Caenorhabditis elegans: one gene and its partners. The protein of the gene in region 1 purifies or fractionates together with the protein of each later gene. This does not show direct contact. Each region holds a gene or a part of one and is shown on either strand. Other genes may lie near its edges.

Region 1 (8,437 bases):
AGTCAGGTCAAACCGTTCCAAAAAGTACTAAAATGAATTTTTCTTCATACTGCTGCCGCCGCTCACATCCATCTTTCTGGCGACTGTTTCATTCAAGACTTCAACTACTGCCACAGTCCATGACAGAAATACCACGACAGAAATTTTTTGGATTTTTGTTTTTAAAGAATCTCCAGACCAAGAGCATTCTTTGAACTATAAAAACTTGTAAGATACTTGATGGATTCCTCGAGAAAAATGTAGAAATCCCGCAGAATGCCGACTTGCGTGCCATAAAGATCGTGATCTCAAAAGCTCTGAAGGCCTGCAGCGATGCGGATGGGGATATTTTGAAAATTCAAAACGTTAATCTGGTCAGTATTTTATGGAGAACAAAACTTGTACACATTGATGTAATAACTCTCTCCACACGTGAAGTTATAGAGCTGCAAACGTGTTACCATACTTTTGGCCCACCCTGTACTGCAATTCTATAAAAATAAACATTAGGGCGCGCTTGCACATCAATTACAAAAAGCGCACCATTCGGAGTCATCATAATCGTACAGATGCGAATCCGAATCGACGTCCGAGTAACAGTTGAACAGCTTAAAATTGAAGATATTCTCATAAATATTTTATTTCGTTCGATTCGAATAAATCGTGTACTTTTATTCTGGATATCTAAGACAGCATAATTTCAAAGAAGAATGCTATGTGCAATCATCGCAGTCACTTGATATGGATCACAGTTTGACGATGGACGACGATCCTCCAGATATCCCTTTCTCTCCGCAGCCACTTGTCTCGGAATACGAATTGAGCATCCACGATTGGCGACTCCCCACGAGAACTTGTCAGCCGAGCTTGTCTCATGACGTCCTGTCAAACGACGAAGATTGTCCTCTCCACCATGTGGATCGTACACCTTCATCGCATCCAAATGAGTACGCTTGAGCCCGTCCATGGCAGCTTCAATCGCGGCGATACCGCCTGGAGCACGCATTTCAGCGTGGAGAAGTTGGTATGGCATCTGGCTCCGTTCCAATCTCCCATGGTGACCTTTGGTTTGGGATCAAGAGATACGCAGACACCGAATTGTTCAGCAACTCTGGAAACATTTTTATTATATACAGGATCGTGATGAAAATACCTGTGCAAAATATATCTCGACATCCACAATTGATCTCCCATATCGATTCCTTCGCAGGTTCCGATTTGGAATTCCCATTGTCCAGGCGTCACTTCAGCATTTGTTCCGAAAATATTGAGCCCGGCGTGAAGGCAAGCACGATAATGTGTCTCAACGACTTCTCTCCCGAACGCACGATCCGCTCCGACGCTACAGTAGTACTTTCCTTGTGGAGCCGGGAATCCGTGTTTTGGCCATCCTAGTGAGTGCTCATCTCTGTCGACGATCAGATATTCCTGCTCCATACCAAACCATGGGCGGGTATCACGGATTTCGTTCATGATTTCGGCGCATGCTTGACGATGACTGGTTGCTGAAAATACTTCTTAAAGGAGCACCATTTTTGCACCATTTTTGGAGTAGGTCTCGCCGCGACAGATTTAACAGTAATAGAACTATTAAACTGTTAAACGAATATGAATTTTGAAAATTCTTTAAAAAAAACTTCATATAGGCGCAAATGCCTACGTGTTCCATGAAGTTTTTATTGCATTAAGTCAGCAAAGCAACTAGAAGGCGCATAGGCAGGCAGGCATCTAAATGCCTGTTTATTTTATTTCCTAACCTGTTGGCTGCATTTGATGGTCCAGCGTGTCACACATCACCAGCTTATTCCCACCGCCCAAAAACGGATCCGGATAGGCAGCGACTGGACGCAAATAACGATCCGAGTCACGTCCCTTTGCCTGCCCCGTCGAGCTTCCATCATAATTCCAGATGGGATAGTCCTCAATTCTCTTCGGAAGTTTATCAAAGGTTCGCGTTTTCGAACGGAGATTTTCCCCAGTTCCATCGATCCACACGTAGGTCGCCTGGATCTTTGTCGGATGAGGACGAAGTCCCAAGAATTGATCAATGACGGCTGTTCCAAGAGGCATGCGAGTTTCAAAGTTCAAGTGAGTCATTTTTACCTAAAACTTTATTTCATGTCTGGAAAATCTGTGTAGAAACTTACGGTTATTAGAATTTGCAATCGAGAGTTGTTCGTCGAGTAGAGCCAAGCTCGTAATAAATTGAGTTTGACCACCCACGCGAAAAAAATATTTTAACTATTGAGGAAATCTGTAGGCCGGCACGTTTAAACTTTTTGGAATGTTTTTTTATACAAACTTACAACAAATGAACCGTAACCGTCTGACTAGAATTGTGAATTTTGAAAAAAAAAAGTCGGAAGAAATGTATTTACGTGTAAGAAAAAAATTGACAAAAAATTTAATCGAATTCTATAAGAAGAGTTTTCAGTTTAATAATCGGCTCCTAATTTTTTTCGTACTTTTTTCCGATTATTTAAATGTTCACTATTTTTTTTTCTCCGGAGAAAAGCAGGTAACATTGCGTGCAATTTGAAAAATATGTAGTGTGAACGCGCTCAACATTTTAAAATTAATTCATCCTTTTTCCTGCGAGAAATCACTATGTACCTATCGAAAGCTTGTTGCTGGCTGCTACTCGAAAATTTTTGTAATTTCGGAAAAATTTGCATCTGGATATTTAGTGCAATAGAATTTAGAATTGGGCACAATTTATGGATATTTATAATTCCCGCCGATATTGCATGTATCTACTCATTTTTGACTCATTTTTCAGAAAGGTGGTTTCTTGTAGTTAGAGACAACTTTATTTGAAGAATTGCATGCTCTCTATAGCAAAAAGAACCGATTTTCCATAAGAAATCAAAATGGATGTTGCAAACTATCAAAAATGTTTTACAGTAAAACTATAAGACCGTACGATCATTTTTTCTCAAGAGTCATTTTTCAGTTCACTTTTTAAAATTTCTTTTTCCCAGTTATTGCAACAAGATAAAAATTATGGAAGTTGTCAAAAAAGTATCAAGAAAGCTCTGTATCACCGAAAAAAACGGGAACCGGATGGTACCGGAGTTGCCGAACGGCAGATCCGGTTTAGGTTAACTTATTTGTTTGTTTTTTTTTCTTAATTTCTAAGTAAAATCAATTTGGTACTTGTGCATTATTTCCCCTCATTTTAATATTATCCATTTTAATAAAACGTGATGTCCATTTTCCATCTTTAGGCTTAGAAATGATTATTTCCTAAGCCTAAAAAACAAAAACTCCACACGTTTTTATTTAAAATTATATTTTAAAAAATGAGGGGAAATAATACACAAGTACCATCAATTTTACTCAATTCCCAAGTAGCAAGTGGTCCTAACAAGTTTATTCATGTTAAGAAACCATAAATATAAAGAAAATGAAGTATCTCATGGAATTTGTGTCAAGTAAAATCGTGTTTCGCCTAGAAATGGAAGGCACATGTTGAAAAAAAAAATTTGAAAAAAAATCAGCTTAGAAGCACTTTCGGTGAACAATCGATGGGCCGGACTCGTCGTACTCCTGCTTGGAGATCCACATTTGCTGGAAGGTTGAGAGGGAAGCAAGAATAGATCCTCCGATCCAGACGGAGTACTTGCGCTCTGGTGGAGCAATAATCTTGATCTTCATTGTGCTGAAAATACAAGAATTATAATCTCATGTACTGAGAAATGTGAAGCTTACCTTGGAGCCAAATGTTGAATCTCCTTTTGCATACGATCAGCGATTCCTGGGAACATGGAGGTACCTCCGGAGAGAACAGTGTTGGCGTAGAGATCCTTTCTGATGTCGACATCGCACTTCATGATGGATTGGTAGGTGGTCTCGTGGATTCCGGCACCTTCCATTCCGATGAAGGCAGGCTGGAAGAGGACTTCTGGGCAGCGGAATCTCTCGTTTCCGATGGTGATAACCTGTCCGTCGGGAAGCTCGTAGCTCTTCTCGAGGGAGGAGGAGGAGGCGGCGGCGGCGAGCTCGGACTCGAAGTCGTGGGCGACGTAGCAAAGCTTCTCTTTGATGTCCCGGACGATTTCGCGTTCGGCGGTGGTGGTAAAAGTGTAACCGCGCTCGGTGAGGATCTTCATCATGTAGTCGGTCAAGTCGCGTCCGGCAAGATCGAGACGTTGGATGGCATGTGGGAGGGCATATCCCTGGAAGATTAGAAGATAAGATCGGATGTAGGTTCTAGATTTCTTAGATCCCAAAGAATTCTCACAAGAAGATTGTGGATCAGATAAGAAGATCAGAAGCTCAGGCTATGATTTGCAGAGAAATGAGGTGGCCTTGCTCTTACTAAGTTCTTACAGTTCCAAAAACTTAAAACTAAGGATAAGAGCTGCTGAGCTGAACTAAAAGTTTCCGAAAGCGCTGTGAGCCTGTTTCTGGCTGCAAAAATTAGTCGAAGCAGACGTAATCTCCAAAACTTTACACCGCCAAGTCAAAGAAGATTGCTGTCTTCTTATATTCTCTAAACCCATCTACCTACTTCATAGATTGGAACGGTGTGAGTGACACCATCTCCGGTGTCCAAAACGATTCCGGTGGTTCTTCCGGAAGCGTACAAGGAAAGCACAGCCTGAATGTTGACGTACATGGCTGGAGTGTTGAAGGTCTCAAACATGATCTGTGTCATCTTTTCTCTGTTGCTCTTTGGGTTCAATGGAGCCTCGGTAAGGAGAACTGGGTGTTCCTCTGGGGCGATACGAAGCTCGTTGTAGAATGTGTGATGCCAGATTTTCTCCATATCATCCCAGTTGGTGACGATTCCGTGCTCGATTGGGTACTTCAAGGTGAGGATTCCTCTCTTGGATTGTGCTTCATCTCCGACATACGAGTCCTTCTGTCCCATACCGACCATCACTCCCTGATGACGTGGGCGTCCGACGATGGACGGGAAGACGGCGCGTGGAGCATCGTCTCCGGCGAATCCGGCCTTGCACATTCCGGATCCATTGTCGACAACGAGGGCGGCGATTTCTTCTTCCATCTGAAATTAATAAAAGGTTGAAGAAGTCGAGTTTATAGAAAACGTTATTAAGTGATGTACGAGTACTATAAAATGCCGAAAAATGAAAATGTTGCCACATTTCCCCAAAAATGCAAAGTGTGTTATCAGTACCGCAGCCAGCTCACCATCGGGGGGAAAACGAGAAAAAGAGAGAATGGAGAGAATATGCCACATTCTGTATGTATATATGTGTGTGCGTTTGATACTGATAACTCCCTCTCTCACTTCGTTCTAAGAATTGCAGGTACGTGGTGGTTATATGTACACACTCACACACACACACACACACAAATTATCACGTCACACAGACAAAGTCATAGTTTGGTGAGCATGATGTAAGCAGCCTGTCAGAATTTGTGCTCAATTCTAGAACATGAAATTGTCAATTGACATGATATGCACTGGGAGGCTGTTAGCTATGGCCGATTTTATAAAATTGCTCAAATCAGTATAACAAATATGGAATAAACCTACGAAATTTTTGAAAATGCAGGCCAACAGGCTTACATCCGGGCTCCCCGAACTTTCCAGTAGCTCAAGCCGGCTGGTCCACTAACAAAGCATTTCAAAAAAATGTTATACATTGTCAGTTGACAACTTTACATGACCTCCTAAGATAAAAAACCCCCAAGAGATAAAAATCAACTACCGCCAGTCACTGGAGCGCTAGGAATGTAAAACTAGAAAAAATAAAGTGATAACATTCCAATTGACTCCAACTTTTAAATACTCCCTAAAATTGAAGTTTCCGCCTACCATTCCTCTTAAAGAAGCCATACTGGGAAAATGAGTCACTGATAAGTAATGAGTCAATGCTAGTTAGAAATACAATAGAAATTTAGGATCATAAACTATATTTTTTTAATGTTAGGGTGCAGCTAATCTTGAAAGTGCCGAAGATTCAAAGTTTCATTACATTACCCTTTCCGTATAATCCCAAAATACCCGTAAAAGTTACTACTACCCTATTCTGCTTATCACTGATAACAAAGAGGAAAGATGAGAAATCGGTCGAAGTGTGGAAGAAATTAATAGTTTAATTATTATTTTGAAAAAAGCAATTAGAAATGGAATAATTGAGATATCGACAATCTGAAAAACGTGAAAATAGCAGCCGGCAGCTTCCTGGGAATGTATGTAACATGGCAACAAAAAGGAAAAGAAAAAAGTTGTAAACTAAATAACAAAATTTATGTAGATTCATGTGTTGGATAGTATATTTTAACTTTTCGGCTGTAGAGGCTTATAGGTGGTTAAACTATATGTTTGTGCATTTACTATAAATCTTCTAACTACATTATAACATCATTACATGATAATCTAAATTACTGAAAAATCTTCATTACCAAGAAATAACTGTCAGTTGAACAAAAAAAAGATAATCTAAAAACTGTTTTGGCAATATTCTAATATGTATCACTTGTCGGACGAGGTATCGGAGTTCAATGTTTTGTTCCAGGTAGCACTATTCAAACTACAGTAACTCTACACTAGTTAAAAATAACAAAAGTTGTCAACTGGTAACACTTTTCATTTCTTAAACGTTTTTAGTTTTCAAAGAAAAGTTACATTTTTGTGCCCCACTGACCGAAAATGTACTTGCATCAACGAATTGTTTTTGTGAAATTTTCAAAACTTCTCATTACGAAATTTGGTAGTTTTGGGTCACTTCGGATCTAAAAAAAGCAAAGTCTCAGATTTCGGTACTCCATCTTTAAATCTTATAATCATACTTGCTTTATGTTTGCAATAGATTTATAATGTTTTTCCAATTTCTTTCCTCAATTATGCAAATCCATAAACTCCCGCCTCTGCACACCTCCAAAACGCTCCAAAACAGTCTCCCCCACTCTTCTATTTTTCTGTTTCTCTTGCACCCTCTCACTCTCTATTTATGCCCGTTCTTATCATTTTCAAGCTTCTTCTCATTCCAGGAAACCTCACCCCCGATTCCTCTTAAAATTGGAAACTCTTATCATCATTGATGACGGAGCAAGTTCATGTTGGCATTGATATTGGCACAACTTCGGCTAAAATTTGTGCAAGGAATGGGGAAAAGTGAGAAAATTCAATATAATCACAAAATTAATAAAAATAAAATTGCCTGCACATTATCAGTTGGCAAGTTTTGAAAAACAAAATTAAAATACAAAAGTGATTAATTGTTTTATTCCTTTGATTGGATCAAAACTATCTCAAAAAACCTATTACCAAAATGTGAAATGTAAATTTTTTCTGAATAGAATAATTGTACAACACTGGCAAAATCTGAAAAGTCATCAAAAAAAGTTTCAAGTCAAATAAATAGGTAATTATTTTGAATACGTTCTTTGGAATATTTCAATTTTTCAAAAACCATCAAACCATAGTGCCATCAAAAACTGAGTGTGTAAATTTTAGTACGCTGATTTTGTAAATAGATAAAACACTTTATATTTTTAGCGTAATCCTAGAATTCAAAAAAATCTACGAAGGTGACAATTCTGATGCAGCTGGACTTCAAAATCCGAAGATTATAATTCAAACTGTTTTGGATTTGTTGGAAGTTTGTAACCGCCTAAAAAACTGGACAAATTTTTTTTTTGCAGAGAACAAAATCTAATTTAGAATCGCGAAATCTGAAAATATCCAATATATGGACGTGTGGACAAATGCATGGAATTGTCATGTGGAAGCAACGACAGAATGAAATTGATTTAGGTATACAAAATGGGAGTTTTTGTTGCAAAAATTTTTGTATCTTAAAAACAATAATAATGTTTTCTCATTCAAAATAATGCAATTTCCAGAGACCCTAACCATCTCACCATTGTACAATTGGACATACAGTTCTACGGAGCTCCCAGCGTTTCTAAAAACTATTCCTAAATGGGAATGTGGAGATTTGCATCCAGGGTTTGGTCTTGTTACGCTGGCGTTTTTGAACTACAGTAATCCGGAATTTTTAACGGTCAGAAATTAACGCATTGAATCTAGAAAACTAAAAAGTGGTCGGGGTCAAAAAAAATCATTATTATCGGCGAACGGCATTCGCTGTTTGCCGTTTGCCGCCCGCACAGCCCTGGCTCATACCCCTATAACTCGGACAAAATTTATGACTTTTTTCAGAATTTTATACATTGTGGAACCATAATGGACCTATTCATCTCTATTTTGACACAAAACCCGGACCCCCTCATCTCTCACCACAACGCTCACAGCTGGGGTTACTGTACTGAAAACGCTACGTGGCAGTCAGAAATTTTAGATTTTCTCCCTAAAACTCTGAAACTACCTGACATAAATTCTTCCTCTGAAGTTTCGGGGACTTGGCACGGTGCCAAGTGCCACGTGGCATCAGGAGATTTGCAAGCTTCCGTGGCATCGCTGGATTATTATGAAAATACCGCTTGTGGGTCTTTTTTCAGAATAGTTTTATTTTTA
Region 2 (7,277 bases), on another chromosome or scaffold:
ACTCACTTTTTGATTTCGTCATCTGTGGCATTTTTCTGAATGCCGAGAACATTGTACAAATGAAGTCCCTTTTTCGGATCGTGCGAATGATCAGCGGCTGGAGATTCTTCACGGGGAGATGCTCCTCCACTTGTTCTCCCTTCCTCCGCTTCCCGTAATCCGTCTGAGTTCATTTCCCTGAAATTAGATTTGCATTTAAAAAAGAAAGGAAACAAGGAGGAATTTATTTAAAACAACGGAAATTGAAAACTAAACCTATCACATTAAAATGCCAATAGAAAAAAAAACTAGAGAGAGTGTCGAGGGGAAACAGTTTAGCGAAATATTCGCCGAACAGTTCAGATCACAAGTCAAAATCAATATGTAAAACACTTATGAGCCTTGACGGAGAGCGCGAAAATTGGGAGAGACAACGGCGAAAAATGAGAGTGTAAATAGACGCAACCATTCCCATACGGCAGTGGTGACACATAGTGGGGGAGAGGAAGAGGGTCGTAAATGCGCTCCGCCGGCCTCGCATGCGGTCCCGCAGCGCGTTGTTTCCCATATTGACACAGCTCGAAATGTGTGTTACCGTAGGTCATCAACCTGATGATCACTCGTTGCCTAAAAATTTTTCGCTTTTTTTTGCGTGGCTTTTATCAATTTTCAATTTTCAATGAAATTTTTCGAAGAGATATTTTATTTTTCTTTTTTAAAATTAAATTTTTCAGAGATCGCGTCACATGGAATGTTCACCGGCACAATTTTCAATAGCTTATTCACATTACCGCTGGTCATTTCACAATTTGTTCCACCACCAACGCGTCCAGTAGATCTATGGGATCCGTTTAAAACAACGACAACACCATTTCCCCATGGCGGAGTAAACCAAGTAAGTATTTTGAATTTTTTAAACTATGTTTACCTAGAAATTTAAACTTTTCTAGTAGTTATTATCAAAATGATAGAAAATAGAATGTTATAAAATAATGATGTAAGATTATTTTAAAGAAACTGAATTGATTATTTTCGCTAAAAAATTGAGCCAATTTATTATTCTTTCTCTGAACTCTGCAAAAGATGTTTCGCTCTATTTGCCTAAATGCATATCGATTTGCGTCGTCACCTCACCTAACATTTGTGTACATTGCAGGGGTTAAACCGAGATGAAGTGGTTGTTCGACTGCCTCTGGGAGACATTGTTGGCAAAGAGGTTCATCTCCACAACCTGCCCTGGACAATTCACAAAGATCCAACCGAAGAGCTTCCCAAGGACGGAACACACTTTGATCCGAATCCACTGAAGCCCAAAAACAATATCACAGTCTTCACATTTCTAGGAGTGCCCTATGCAGAACCACCGACGTCTCAGAGAAGATTTAAGGTACACTTATTCCGACATATCATAAATTGAATAACTCATTTTACATTTTTACAGCCACCACAGCAGCTTACCGTCTTTCCAGGGAAACAACCGTATTTGGCATTCAATTACGCGGCTTCATGTGCTCAAGATGTTGAAAAGTCGCCCAGTCCATTTGTAGATCATCCTTATCCATTCATGGTCGATGAAGATTGTCTTTACTTGAACATTTTCTCTCCTGACGTAAGAAGTTTTATTGAATTTTTCTTATGAAAAATAATTATTTAATTTTCCAGATTTCCAAAAATGCACAAACCACTTATCCGGTAATTGTGTTCTTCCACGGCGGGAATTTCCAAACTGGGTCTGCAAATGAGTGGCCAGCGCATGGACTTGCTTCTCGAGGAATGGTTGTAGTAACTGTCAACTATCGTCTTGGTGCTTTCGGCTTCATGAGTATGGGAGATTCTGAAACCGGCAACTATGGACTACAGGATCAGAGACTAGCCTTGGAGTTTGTGAAAAACAACATTGTAACGTTTGGCGGAGATCCACAAGCTGTCACAGTTGTCGGGCACGATGCAGGAGCAGCTTCGATCGGATTTCACATGCAGTCACCGTATTCCAGGCACCTCTTCAGATCGGCGGCCACAATGTCCGGAGCGGAAGTTTCATATCACTCTTACATTGGAAAAACTGCACTGGCTTTCAACAACACAATGAAGCTGGGACGCTACGCAGGATGTACACAAGCTGTTGCACAACATCGTTGGGATTGTATTCTGACAAGATCAACCGGAGACATCATTGATGCAACAAGGAACATTCCTATCGAGTACAACAGATACTTGTTCATGCCAACGGTGGATGGAAAATATCTCCCTGGAAACCCGCTATGGACTCTCGTCAACGCGCCGAGTGGGGAGACTTCAATCATGAGTCCAGTACCAATGCTTATTGGAATGAATGCTCAAGATGGCAGTGAAGTCGTGCTGGAAGACAGAAGACTCGGAGAGTTTAGTCAGTTCAACGATGTCGACCACGAGTATTTGAAAAGTTACTCGCTGGAATATTGCTACCGTCATAACTACTCAATGAATCGGGAAGCTACCGCCGACGCGATCCTCTCCAAATACACTTTCTGGCCTGATAGAGCAGCTGCTTGGGCAATCAAGGAAAACTTTATCCAATTTGCTACCGATGCTTACTACACTGCTCCGATGCAACTCTCCTCGCATCTCCACAGTTCTTCGGGATCACGAGTTTTTCAATATGTAAATAATTACAACTTCAGTCGCCAGCATCCAAACCTGCTATTTATTCCTGACTGGATGGGAGTTTGTCGGGATTGTGACTTGTATCTGATGTTTGGCTATCCGTTTTTACCGGACGAGCTGAGACCGATTGGTCTGCGAGGCATAAATTTTACGGATACAGATAGAAACGCGAGCAGGACGTTTTCCAACATCATACGTCGATTCAGTTATCATCAGAACCCAAATTTTCAATTTGATGGCAGCTGGGCAGCATACGAACCAAGGCGTCATTGGTACATTAACTTTAACTACACACATGAAGAAGACTGGAAGATTCCTGGAACTCTTGCAAGAGACTATCGCTATCAAGATGTTGCATTCTGGAATGAGTACATCCCTGCATTGGTGAACTACATGACAACGACGTTTTCCCCTGAAAATGTTGCGTACCGACGAGAAATCATGGTTTTCAAATGGATCACTGGAGTCAACGTCATCATCATCGCTCTACTGATAGTACTTGCTGGCGCGTTTGGATATATGGTTTGGGGAAACAAGGAGGACGAGGAGGCGGCTTATAAAGCAGAAAACCACCAACTCGTCGAATACCGGGACACTGGTCACTCAGTGTCGGATGCTACTATTTCTTCACGGACTCGATCACCAAGATCTAGAATAACCAATCTTTAACTTTCAAAGTTTGTAAATAATGTATAATTTAAATTTTTTAGAGTACTAACATAATAATTACTAACTTCTGTGATCAGAATCTCATTTCACTTACTTTTTATGTTTAGTACGAGTTTTAAACCATCCAATTGTGATCTCTATTTTTTCGGAGCCTTATCTTACTGATGCCTTATTATTATCATAATTGTTATTGCATTTTCAAAAAGAAAACATGTATTGTCTAATGATTTTTTTAATTGTTCATTTAACTGGTTTTTTGAGCCGCTGTTTATCTTTTTTAACTCAATTTTCCAGTCATTTTCACTCTAATCAATTGTTCAGGGTAAAATGGCTCCAAGCGCTCCAGCTAAGACTGCCAAGGCTCTCGACGCCAAGAAGAAGGTCGTCAAGGGAAAACGCACCACCCACAGACGTCAAGTCCGCACCTCCGTGCACTTCCGTCGCCCGGTCACCCTCAAGACCGCCCGTCAGGCTCGGTAAGTTATTTCAGTCCAATTAAAAGAACTATTTAAAAAGTTGAATGATTTTAATTATCGATTTTCAGTTTCCCACGCAAGTCTGCCCCAAAGACCTCCAAGATGGACCACTTCCGCATCATCCAACACCCATTGACCACTGAGTCCGCCATGAAGAAGATCGAGGAGCACAACACCCTTGTCTTCATCGTCAGCAACGACGCCAACAAGTACCAAATCAAGGACGCCGTCCACAAGCTCTACAACGTCCAAGCCCTCAAGGTTTGTTGGAAGCATCTTAATTTCCAGGCAAAAAGAAATCAAAATGCTTGTTTTTAGGTCAACACCCTCATCACTCCACTTCAACAGAAGAAGGCTTACGTCCGCCTCACCGCTGACTACGATGCTCTCGACGTTGCCAACAAGATTGGAGTTATCTAAATTGTTTTCTTGTTCCTTGTTTGTTCAATAAACAATTTGTTATTAAAAATGTTTGCTGATTTGGTAGGGAAAGAAATACTAATTGTAAGAGCAGTAGTTATCATACATTTCATGAAAATCACCCTGATTTAAAATTAAAGCGCTAGAAATGGTTGTTTGTTGAGCCTAAAAATACAACAATATGTTTTTTGATTCTAAAAAATTATTGACTTAAAAAACTACTTTTAAAATGAGGGCATGTAATACACAAGTACCAAATTTCGTTTTTTTTTTCTCACCCATTCTACTTCGTACTCTTTTTTTTGAGTGTTTCACGCGATGAGACCGTTTTGAAAATGTTGCACTAACTAATAAGCAATATTGTGCCATGATAACTTCAGATTTTTCATTTCACAACTCTAGATTTGTTGTTGTTCTTGTACAATTTTGAGCTGTTGCCATATTTCAAAGAATATCCTAAAGAACATGAGTGCAAAACTCTTACAACGATAAATTGTTCATTTTTTTTATTTTTTTGAACATTGTAAGCAATTTTTTTTAATGACAAATACTATGAAATTAAATGAAAAATACAATTTATTACAAAAAAACACTGCAACTGGTTATTCATTCATACATTAAAATAAATATTGAGAGATCAAGAGTAATGCGAAAAATTTCGAAAAAAAACATGATATCTGGCAAAAACGTGTTTGAGATCAAAAGTTATTAACCAGAAGTGATTGAAAAAGATAATGGATGAAAGGAGTTTGCATGAAAACAATTTTCTGCAATATTACTACAAGTTTTCACAATTCTAACCGGAAGATGAAATTAAATTACTGTTCTCAGGACAGTTACTCGGTGTATGGCGGTGGGGGATCACGCATCAGTGCAATAATTAGATCTTCTTCGTGATTTGTTCGTGGTCTGAAAAATAAATAATAAACATCTGAAATATTCACAGGTATTTTTACCTTTTATTTCGCATTATTATTCTGGAAAGACTTCGTTCTAACTGTCTATCTCGGATCACAGCTATCAATGGATTTGCGACACAATGAACAGAGAATGCCGCAACTTCAATCCCCATAATTGAGTTATACTGGTCCTGAAGTTGTGTTCCAATTTTGTAATCTAACAATAACATGATTATTTACCTTTTCCTTGGACTCCCAGGCAACCATCATAAAAATTATAATAAATGATAAACTATTCAACAGCAACCATAGTGACGCTGTTGCGCAGTCCTTCTTTAACCGTACTGTTTGACTATTTTCCTACAAAAATTTCAATACTCAAATGCAATTTTTCGATCCCTTACCTCTGGATTAAGACGTTGTGATATGATTAGCTGGATGAGATTGAGCGGATGAATAATCAAATTGAGCACAAGGAATACGGATAGAAGAGCAAGATGAAAAGGCACTGCTAACACAAAAGATCTCGAGAGGCGGATTAGGAAAAAGTCGGATAGAAGCAGTAACGTTACGAGAAGCCATGTTGAGCCGATTAATCGAGATAATTGAGACCTGGAAATGTGTCGATGGGATAATAAATTAGAAATGTATAATAACAGTGAAATTCAGTTAATTCAAAGTACTAATTTTAGTTTCAAAATTTTGAAACATTTCTTGGTTTTGAGGAATTATTTTAAAAAATAATCACAAATTAAATATTTCTAAGACTGAGAAACAATGTCTTTATTTATGTTTTATACTTATTTTCGAGTTTTTCGAATACTTTCAATTTCTCTCATAAAAATGGTATTTAAGTATTTATTAGTTGAAAAATGTTACACTTAAGCGAGCTCGTCTATTTTTTCAATGAACTGTTTTTTTTTCAGTTAACAAGGCTCTGCGGTAACCGGCATTTTGTCGTAATTTCAAAAGTTACTATACTTTAATTGAAAGAATGTCGATAGCCGACTTCTGAAAATGCCAATTGCCAAAAACTTCCAGCATCTAAATAGTGAATTTAAGTCTACTTACTTTGCGTTATTTTTTAAATTTGCACAAAAAAGTATTTGAATAATAAAATGACACTGAAGTCTGCCATATTAAAAAATTATTGTTCTGGTTATTCCAAACCAAGTTTTTTTGGTCAAGTTTTGGTGTATCTGATTAATGAAATGTGACAAAGATTTGCATATGCCCAATTTATTTTGAGTCACCTTCCCTACTTTTGATAAGAAAATTTTATTTTTTGAGCGTAGTATTTATCAATGCATATAATTTTCAAAATGTAACAAAAAAAATACTATATAACTGTGCTAAAGAATAGTAATTAGTTGACCCCTTGACTAAACAACAAGAGAAGGGAAGGAATCTTTTATGTAACAAACAAGGAAAGTTTCATGTTTCTTTTTGGAAAACTTTTTAGCGTGGACGACGACGGGCACTAATGAAAATCTCGAGAGACTCTTTTATGTGACGCATACATGGGAAACATGTATGTGATGTGACATTCGGTGCATTTGCCCTTTTTCATATTTTAATTTAAGGAAATTTTTCAGGAAAAGTGAGGAGTGCACCTGATTTGCTCTCAGGGGCAAAAACCCTAAGCTTCCCCGAAAGCAATAAACTAACCTCGATAGATGATAGTTGTGTCGCGCGAGCGCGTGCACAAATCCAATTGTCAGCAAGGTCAGCAAGCTAATAGTCGAGTTCAACAAAATAGCAGTCGTCAAAGCCGGAAATTTTTCCAATTCAGCGAACGAACGAGACTTCATGTCGACTAGCTGGAAATGACAGAACGTTGAAATTTTGGAATTTGAAGATGAATTTTCGATTAGCTGGATAGAAGACTGCAATGTTCCATATATAAATATTCATAATTATATTTTGGAGGTATCTTGTTAATTTAAAATTTCCATCAAGATCAAACATTGAAAGAAAAATGTTTCCCAAATTTTTTGAGCTTAATTATAACTAACTGTACATATTCCTGAACTGTCATACCCTACTGTTTGCCATCCAGAACAAAACTTTTTGAATGGAGAACAACAAAAAATTAGATTTAATAAAAGTTAAAATCTACATTTGAAGCTATTTTGAAGTTCTCAAAAGTAGTAAAGGTTGCAATGAAACAACTTTAGATCGGGATTTTTAT
Region 3 (8,874 bases), on another chromosome or scaffold:
CGTAAATAAAAAAGTTTCAAAACAGTTTTGAAAAGTTTTATAATGATATTCGGTAACTTTTTGACCATAGGAGTTGTTTTTAACAATTTTCCCACTGGCGCTTTTTTAAGCAGTGTTATTCCAAGTAGCAATAATCTTTCAAAATACTTTTTTCTAAATTTACTGACTGGAGATACCAGTGAAAGCCACTAACTAACCCTGTACAAAAGACCAAATCACAGCTCCAGCTACACATCCAATTAAAACCAAAGAAATAGCAAGACGAATACCGAAACTTCGAAGGCTAAAATAAAAATCTACAATTTTCAAACAATTTTTTAAACAACTTACTTCTTGCCAAAATCTGCGCCTTCTACTAACTCGATATCGTCATCGTCTTCGAACTCGTCCGCAAATCTTGGTAGTGAGCCGCTTTTGCTCATCTGCAAACAAAAATAATAACTAAACTATATAATTTAAATTCATATTTTGTGTAAACCGGAAAAAGGAAAGGTTTTATCACACTGAAAATGGCAATAATTGCTCCACACGATACGTGGAGGGTAATAAATGTTAAAGATTTATCAGTGGCGGTTTCGTATGCAATGTGTAACTTTTGGAATGAAAGTCATAAATTTCAAGATTCAAGAGAGAGCTGGTATAAAATTTTTTAATACAACAGGAACAATCCGTATCATTTGTGTTTGTTGATGTTATTAAACAAAGTTCCGCATTATTATGGCAAAAATTGATAAAAAATGTTTGTGCACATCAACATTAAAAAAGGTTACTAATGTTTCCACATGAAGAGTCTCTGGAAAAATGAACAAGTTGTAATTTCACCGTAAAAGTAGTTCTGGAAGAACATGTTTGAAGAAAACCAAAAATTGACAATACCAAATAACATTCTATGTATGCAGGGTTGTCTGAAATAATTATTTTATATTAATTTCAAAGGAACACTATATGATAATATCTGGAATAGGGGAAGCAATTAACATAGTCATAATAAAACATAGTTAAACAATTCCTACAAATTTAATAGTCTAATTATGTTTAAAATACTCATATTCAAACATTACAGTGATTTGAGCATTCTGCAGTGCTATAATTTTGTTTTCAATAAGCTGCAAAAATGCAGTAATTGCAACATTTGATTGTCAACAAAAAACTATTCAAAACTTTCAAATAAGTGTTACTATGATATTTAATCATTTTTGCACCATAAAAATGTTTTTTTAAGCAATTTACCCTATGGCGCTACTCCACTATTAAAATCAGTTGGTGTTTCTGGATGAATGTATTTATAACTTTTATCGGCTGCTTTTTCCGATTATGTCTTCGGCTGCACTCAGTTTGTTATTACGAGCCATCTGTGCTCAAGGTCGATAAGGTCAACTTTCTCGAAAATACGTTTCCCCTGTCCTCATTGACATCTTTCCCCCTCTCGTGTCTCCTACTTTTCACCCTTTCACCAAATATCGATCAAGTCGATTTTCAACGGGTTCTCCAGGCAGGTGGCTAGTACGTACAGTTTAGAATTGAATAGTGATGTCGTTTCGTCTCGTAGTGTTGAACTCTGGCGTTGTCTAATTCTCTTCTCCGCAACGCATCTCTAGCTTGCACGGCGACGGTCACCCACGATGCTGGGTCGCAAAAGACCTCTGGTCACCCTTCCCGTTACCGCCGATGGTGATCTAATAGTTATCGAAAAAATGAAAGTATTGGATTTTTAGGTATTGTTGCTAGCACAACTGTATTTGTCGATATTGTTGTTTTTTAATTCTCAATTGGGAGCAACAAAATTTTTTACAAAGTATACTCATGTTTCAATATCGGTTCTTGAGTGATTGGTGATAATTAAATCTCATTTAGAAATTCTGATTGAATTTTTTTCCGGTATGTGATTTTTTATTAATATCCTGAAAAATCGGCGAACTTATGTTCAAATAATATAGTTTTTAGTTTAATGTCCCGGCATACTTGTTTGTTAGTTTACGTTTACCATCCAACCTTTAAGCACCTTTTCTAAGGTTTTTCTTACCCGGCGATGGTCACCCACGATGCCGGTCACCAAAGATGCCAGGTAGCAAAGGATCCCTAGTCACCCTTCCCGTTACCGTCGACGGTAATCTCATAGTTATCGAAAAATGAAAGTATTGGATGTTTTGCATGCTGGCTACCCAACTGTACTTGTCGATATATTCTAAAAGTTGTTTTCTCATTGTAATTTGAATGCAACCGATTTTATTACGACCGATTCCAATCCTTTAAATTTTTTTGAAAACTTTTAATGTCTTGTTTTATTAGAATTAGTATTTTTATTTCATTTCAAAATAAAAGCTGTTGAACATTTTTCAACATCACTATCTAATTTTCAAATTACAAGGACCGGCAAGTAAGTTAAATTTTTTTCAAATTTTGGTTAATAGCTAAGTAGCATTAAAAGTTTTAAATCGAAAATGTTTTCAGTTGTTGATAATGTTTGATTTATCTGAAAACTTTACTTTAATGCACAGAAGTAGTGTTCCCATTTGCGAATTCAAATACTCCAAGTAGTTCGAATGTTATAGCTTATTTGTTTATCAGTTTATGTTTAATCCCAATTCATCAAACACATTTTTGTGCGTTTTTTTTTACACGGCGACGGTCGCCCACGATGTCGGTCATCCTCGATGCCGGTCACCCACAATTCCAGGTTGCAAAAGACCCCTAGTCACCCTTCCCGTTACCGCCGACAATGATCTCATAGTTATCGAAAAGAAAGAAAATATCGGATTTTAGGCCTAACACCACATGTGTACACGCCGATATCATTTAGTTTTTTTGTGGTCAGTTTTATCACGAAGGTGCTTCAAAAATTGATCAATTCATAATTATGATAACCTTCAATTTATGACTTTTATGAAATTAGTTGGTTTTGATTACAGAGATGAGAAAATGGTTTTTCAATGAAAGTTCTCACTTAACAATATACATTCTAAAACTATGCCAATTGTTCAAACCAAAACAAAATTGCAAGTCAGTTAAACTTGACTTTAATTATTGACAACAATTAGGTAGATTTCAAAAAGCCAAATCAAATTATTGTTTCATTATTTCAATGGTTAAAAAAACTCGCCTTAAAAGTTTTGTTTTGTCTGAAAACCACAAAGTCATCTGTTCCCGTTTACCTACAATACTTACTTACTTACTAAACTTTTCATTCACTTTTTGTTTATTTAACTTTTTGTGTATCAGTTTTTGTTTACTTTCCGTCCATCAAGCTTTTTTTTCCTCACTCATCCTTTATTTCAATTCTCGTCCTTTTTTCTATAATTAACAACACAAATCTTAATTTTTTCAGTTTAACTCCATAAGAATGGCATCGTTAGCACCATTCTTTAAAATTTCCGACTCCATCTTGGTAAGTGTCAAAACTTTTGTAAAATTTCAACGTTTCGATGCAATATTTGCTATTCTAATAACTTGGTGTTTTCACTTAACACAAGTCTTTACACTTTTAATAAGAACCGATAATCACAGTGAGATGTGCAGTGTTACCACTTATTGAGTAGTATCCTTGTGCAAACACCCCCACGACATATTGCGTACATTCCCGATTCAGAAATTTCTGGCTTATAAGGAAGCAATAACTCTAATTAATTTTAAAAAAAAAGAATAAAACGCTAAATATTATATATACTCAGGCTGATGAAAGTTTCGACGATCTGGAAATCAATAATCATTTTAAATGCACTAGCAAAGGTAAGTAAAGTGTTTTTGTCAATTATCTTATAATTTTTCAACTTCAGATCTAAATGAATACCCAAGAACTTCAACCCCATTGCCTGGAGAGATAACATCAATTTACAGCTTACCCAGATCATATAGTAGGTGTTAATGGATACGATTTGTATTTTTTTAAAGACAAAATTCAAATATGATAAAATTAACTTTTCAGATAATCAAAACCTTTGTACAAGAAGTAAACCAACAACATTCATTTCACAAAATCGTATGTTCGATTACGTTAAAAAATGTTTCTATTATTCATTTTTTCAGAACAAAAAGGAATGACGGAAAAACCGAAGCATTCTGAATATTTTTTAAGACTGATGAAAACACGCCAAGAAATGCAGAAAAAATTAACTGCGAAAAATGGTTCAAACAAAAGTGTGCAGCAATATTTGAGAAAGTTACCGCCCAGTACGAGCAAAGAAGTGACGATAATACCAGTGAAAATGAAACCTGATGACAATTCAGTTTATATTTCTAAAGAATTAAGTGACAGGACTGACACAAAACTACCGAAAGTTTCAACAAAAGAGGTAGAAAAATTTGGAGAGCAGTCAGATGATGAAGAGAGGCATGAGAGGTCTCATATCGCATCGGATTTTAATCAGAAGACCCCGCAATCAACGCATGCAACGAGTAACCATAGGAAGAGAATTTTCATAGGGAGGACAGGTGCTAAGCAACAGCATGTTAGTAAAAAAGCCACAGAGAGTGAATTACCTTATAATATCGACGTGTCAACCTCCAACACGACAAATGCAACCGAGGCTCTCAAACTGTTAAAAAGGCCACTTCTGTTACCAGTGAGTTTTAAAACTTACAAATTTAACTAACAGTTAGTTTAGTGACATAAAAATTAATAAAAGTTAGTGAAAAAGTAAAACATGACCGACTTTCTATGAATTTCAAACATAATATTTCCAACTAAAACCAAGAAGAACCAATAAACTGTAAAATAAAATAAAATGTAAAGTTTTTACTAAACATAACGATTTAACAAAAAAATAAAAATAAAACTTCAGTTGTTATATGTTTTCAAGATAATTTTTGAAAGAGTTCTTATTGTTGGAAAATTATTAGTAACTTTCCTTATAGAGAACATTTCATATTTAAAAACCAATAAAACATTCAAATCGTCACTGAAACATAAATTGGCAAAAAAGTAGGCAATTTCTATTTGAATTAACACCCATCAGCCAGTTTTTTTTTCAAATTTTTTCACCGTGTTTTACACAGCTTTGCATGAAATTTTTAAAGCTAAAATGTATAATCTTGTATTTTCTCAACAGTTTCTCTTAAACAGATCATGTTTCATATCAAAGTTTTACACAGCAAAAACTGCAAAAAATGAAAACATGAAAACGTACAAAAGTGTTCAAAACTATTCCAAAATATTAATTTCCCAAAAAATAATGGCTTGTAATTTTCAGAGTAAGGATCCACGATCGTCAAAAATGCCCCGTTTAGATCTCAATCAACATCAATTCCGCTGCAAACAGTACATAGTCCATTCACAATTTACATGTACTCAAATTGAGAAAACATTTAAGTGCAGAGTTGGAACATCGACAGAGAGTGAAGACCTTGATGATTACTATTTTGATGGTGAGTACTTATTTGTTCTTGTGTCAGTTATCAATAAGCGAAGAAATAAACAAAAACAGTATTGGAAATTAAATCGAATGGTCTGCACACTGTGTCAACCACAGCGCCTCCATGATCTTAGAAACAAACAAATGAGCAAGAGATTACCGTGCGCTCTTTTCCCGACAAACATAGAAATATAGTACTTGATAGAAAAGAAATAGGGAAAAGAGGAGGGCAAAAAGCAACAAGTTGTGAAGAATAGTCAACAATATTGGTCGGGAGGGAGGTTTCTGCTTGTACGTATATATTTATTGAAGTGACGCCGACTGACGACGCAGGATTTGCTTTCATACAATTTTTTTTGGGGGGAAACACGATAAAAATGTCCCGTCGTTTTTATGCATCAATGCATCATTCTTCGGAAGTTACTATTATACATACAATCACTTTCTTAGGGTTTTTTTCTTTATTTTCCAGTGAATGCTCAAATTGTATATTTTCTAGTATGATTTTAATAGAAGAAAGTTTTCATTGAAAATAAGACAAATAGATAGGTCAAATAATATATAATAAATTGAGTGGTATAGCATTCTATTTTTTCGAATCAAAAACTCAAATCTTAAACGAATAATTTTTTCCATCCAAACTGAGCTACGATTTTGACACTTTCTGAATATTTTCAAAAATTTACAAGCCTAGTCGTATATTTTGAAATTAAATAATTAAACCTTGAGAGGTTGGCAATTTTAACATTTCCGAATTTTGACATTGCCGAACATCTCTGCAATGAATGTTTGGGGGTTCTATGTATTCTTGTCGTAACTATTTGTTTTCTTTGCACTCGTTCGCTTTGACCAGACCACTTTTCTTTTATGCTATGAACTCATTACGCAGAGATCTCGCACAACAATTTGTTACTTGCACTGTTCATCTTGTCCTTTTTACTCTTTTTTCCTTCCGTTTACTTTTTCATATTGCACACAATGAGACTGTGCTGATGGCTGCTTCAAAATTTCTGGGACTGTGCTTCACATTCTTGTGTACTCTTTCGCTCACCACCAGTTTTTTGCACTGTTCTCTAGAGTGAAAAAGGAAAATTGAACAGTTACATTGTGTTCGGTTTCAGTCAATTTTTTTGTTGTACAATTAGCGTCGCTAGAAAAAGTGTTTTTTTTGCTACTCTACTGTTCTTGTCTCATGCTATTTTGTAGAGTTTAAATTTATTTTTAAAAAATGAATGTCAATTAAAATGTGAGAACTGGTAGAATCAAATATATACGTTTCATTTCTCGCGTAAAAAATTAAGAAAGTAGTCTTCTAACCTTCCATCTAGGCTATAAATCTCATTTATCTCTAGTTCCACTTGGCCACCAACTCCTCCGCAAGCAAATGATGATGATAGGGACCATTCGTAAAAGCCGCAGAAGCCCGAACAGTCAACTCGAACAGTTGTGGGGTCTTAGCGTGTGTGTTAGCAGGGAAATTTCTTTTTCCAAAGCGTATGAGGAGGTCCCGCTCGGTCGGTTAAATGAGCAAATATCTTCGCGACATATGCCAACGCGATTCGTATTACGTTTATCTGCTCGTCTAACACGAAGGCGAAATTGATGAAACGTGGGTGGGAAATGGAAACTAAGGAGAACTTCGGGGGGACGTGTGAAGCCGATAATGATGAGATCATACACTATTTGTCGTCTGCATATTGATCTATGTAGGACATGTACTCAACGATTTTATCTATTTCTCGGAACTTTTTTTTTTTAATTTTGAAGTGTTTTTGCGAAATTGTTTGTCTCTGCCGATTATTTTGAGAACAAATCGGCGTAGTTGTAAGAAAGATATAAATCAACCTGGTAAGAATTCTACCAATAACTAAAACTATTTAACTTCATCATGTACATTTCATTTGCCAAACAAAATTCTTTAAGCTATTTGCTCAATTTTCTTTTTTCATATCCCGCTTTTTATGATATCATCAATGTTCATTCAAAAAAAATCACACAACCACTCAAAAATACAAAAGGCTGTCTCAAGTATACACATACTTCTGCAGCTTTTCCTTTCCTCTAGGAGTATTTTTTGTGATATGATCACATTGAGTTTAGATCGGATTCGAGAATGATATTGAATGAATCGTGGCGCCAGGTAACTGAAATTTTATTTGTCAATGAGAAAGCGAGAGTTCCTTTTCTTCCACTATCCACCTACTCTATGGGGGTGCGAGCCTTTGTTTGTCAACTTGAGCTATTAAAAAAAGATACTGTTGAGATAAGTGCCGATTTCGATTTTCAATGCACTGCGGCTCTATCATATCTGCCTCCCCTACTAAACCCGCGCTCATTTTTTGTTTGAAAAATCAAAATCGCACGTTTCTTCATTCCGTCATAGTCATAGATTTCTGATAGGTTCCACGAGATGCGTTGGATCAGCCATGCAAGTCGTTGAGATTGCATGAGTTTCAGTTTCACGGGATGAACATATGTTCCCCGATCATGATGTGTGTGTTTTACATTTTTAGATGATTTATTGGGAAATTAGTTTTGTGCAATAGGTTTTCTGTCGTTTTTAGCTGTTATGGTTTATGTATATGTATATTCTTATTGGGTGGTATTTGAGAAGCTTGCCAAATTCATAAATCTCTTATCAAATCTATTAACATCTATCCAATGTACCCCGAACTAACTAGTTACTTTTTATTCTTTCTTCTGTGGGACCTTTTTCTGTGAGATATTTGTGTTCTTTCACTATCAGTGGTCGGCTGGCTAGCTGTCCTCCCACGCAGTAAACTTTACGGATCGATAGGTGATCAGGCAGCAGAAGCAACAGTGGTCCTGCCGAAACTTTCGAGAAAGACACAGAGCCAAGGCATGTTGATAATCATTGATAGTGATAGGTTCGACTCTGTCTCTCTGTTTTCTCTGGTCCATCAATCTGAGCCGTCATATCTACTTGCTCTGGACTCCCGCGGGGGCGCGCTCCTGCTCCGAGACCTTCTTTCTCTCCTTTATCCTCTCGCCTCTAGTACACAGCACGGTAGGAAGAGAGAAGCGGGAGGGAGGGCGCCGATTTTTGTGTAACGCTCCGAAGCGCGCCTCTTGTCACACTGTGATTAGAGTTGGCAATGCAGCCTCGGCAACGGCGGCGGAGTCCCGCTAGTACAGAGACTTGGGATGCTCCCGTGGATGTGCCTGCCCTCTCCGACTCTCACCGCATACCCACTTGGCATCCTTGTCCATCTCCTATCACTTAACATTTTGTTCTTGGCCTTGACCAGTCCAACTTTTTTTACGCAGGGGAACTCTGTGTCTATTTTAAGACATATATTTATGTGCTCGTGTGTTTTTACAATTCCTCTTTCTAAGACTTCTTGTGTTACTGTGTTACAATGCTTATAACAAAAACTAGACGGAACGAAAACAATAAAATGAAACACTGGAAGAAATGTTCGCCATTCCTTTCTCTCTTTGCTTTTTCGATTTTTGTTTTTCTTTGTGCTCAGTCGATCACAATACAGTTTTCCCATTTTCAGCC

Evidence for each region. The genes of interacting proteins can lie anywhere in the genome.
Region 2: the proteins of act-5 (region 1) and rpl-23A.1 fractionate together in Caenorhabditis elegans (co-fractionation; one large-scale study listed by BioGRID). This does not show direct contact.
Region 3: the proteins of act-5 (region 1) and dim-1 fractionate together in Caenorhabditis elegans (co-fractionation; one large-scale study listed by BioGRID). This does not show direct contact.

Annotation. Positions count from the first base shown.
Region 1 is NC_003281.10:13,601,074-13,609,510, forward strand, and holds act-5 (Actin), read right to left. Parts: upstream 4,994-8,437; coding exon 4,493-4,993; intron 4,158-4,492; coding exon 3,691-4,157; intron 3,641-3,690; coding exon 3,481-3,640; 3' UTR 3,339-3,480; downstream 1-3,338. Other genes in the region: shpk-1 (Carbohydrate kinase FGGY N-terminal domain-containing protein), read left to right, coding at 6,999-7,072, 7,457-7,559, 7,603-7,714, 7,804-7,964, 8,123-8,405.
Region 2 is NC_003284.9:4,711,566-4,718,842, forward strand, and holds rpl-23A.1 (Large ribosomal subunit protein uL23A), read left to right. Parts: upstream 1-3,612; 5' UTR 3,613-3,618; coding exon 3,619-3,767; intron 3,768-3,835; coding exon 3,836-4,028; intron 4,029-4,085; coding exon 4,086-4,187; 3' UTR 4,188-4,235; downstream 4,236-7,277. Other genes in the region: dnj-14 (J domain-containing protein), read right to left, coding at 7-173; Neuroligin-like protein glit-1, read left to right, coding at 731-874, 1,136-1,366, 1,421-1,588, 1,642-3,291; F55D10.4 (G_PROTEIN_RECEP_F1_2 domain-containing protein), read right to left, coding at 5,024-5,096, 5,144-5,277, 5,327-5,446, 5,491-5,698, 6,755-6,906. UniProt on the Caenorhabditis elegans protein: This protein binds to a specific region on the 26S rRNA.
Region 3 is NC_003284.9:8,052,679-8,061,552, reverse strand, and holds the start of dim-1 (Disorganized muscle protein 1), read left to right. Parts: upstream 1-3,332; 5' UTR 3,333-3,340; coding exon 3,341-3,385; intron 3,386-3,668; coding exon 3,669-3,726; intron 3,727-3,773; coding exon 3,774-3,851; intron 3,852-3,922; coding exon 3,923-3,976; intron 3,977-4,023; coding exon 4,024-4,559; intron 4,560-5,186; coding exon 5,187-5,361; intron 5,362-6,844; exon of another isoform or gene 6,845-6,980; intron 6,981-8,053; exon of another isoform or gene 8,054-8,399; intron 8,400-8,463; exon of another isoform or gene 8,464-8,647; intron 8,648-8,872; coding exon 8,873-8,874. Other genes in the region: C18A11.3 (DUF4309 domain-containing protein), read right to left, coding at 198-283, 331-422.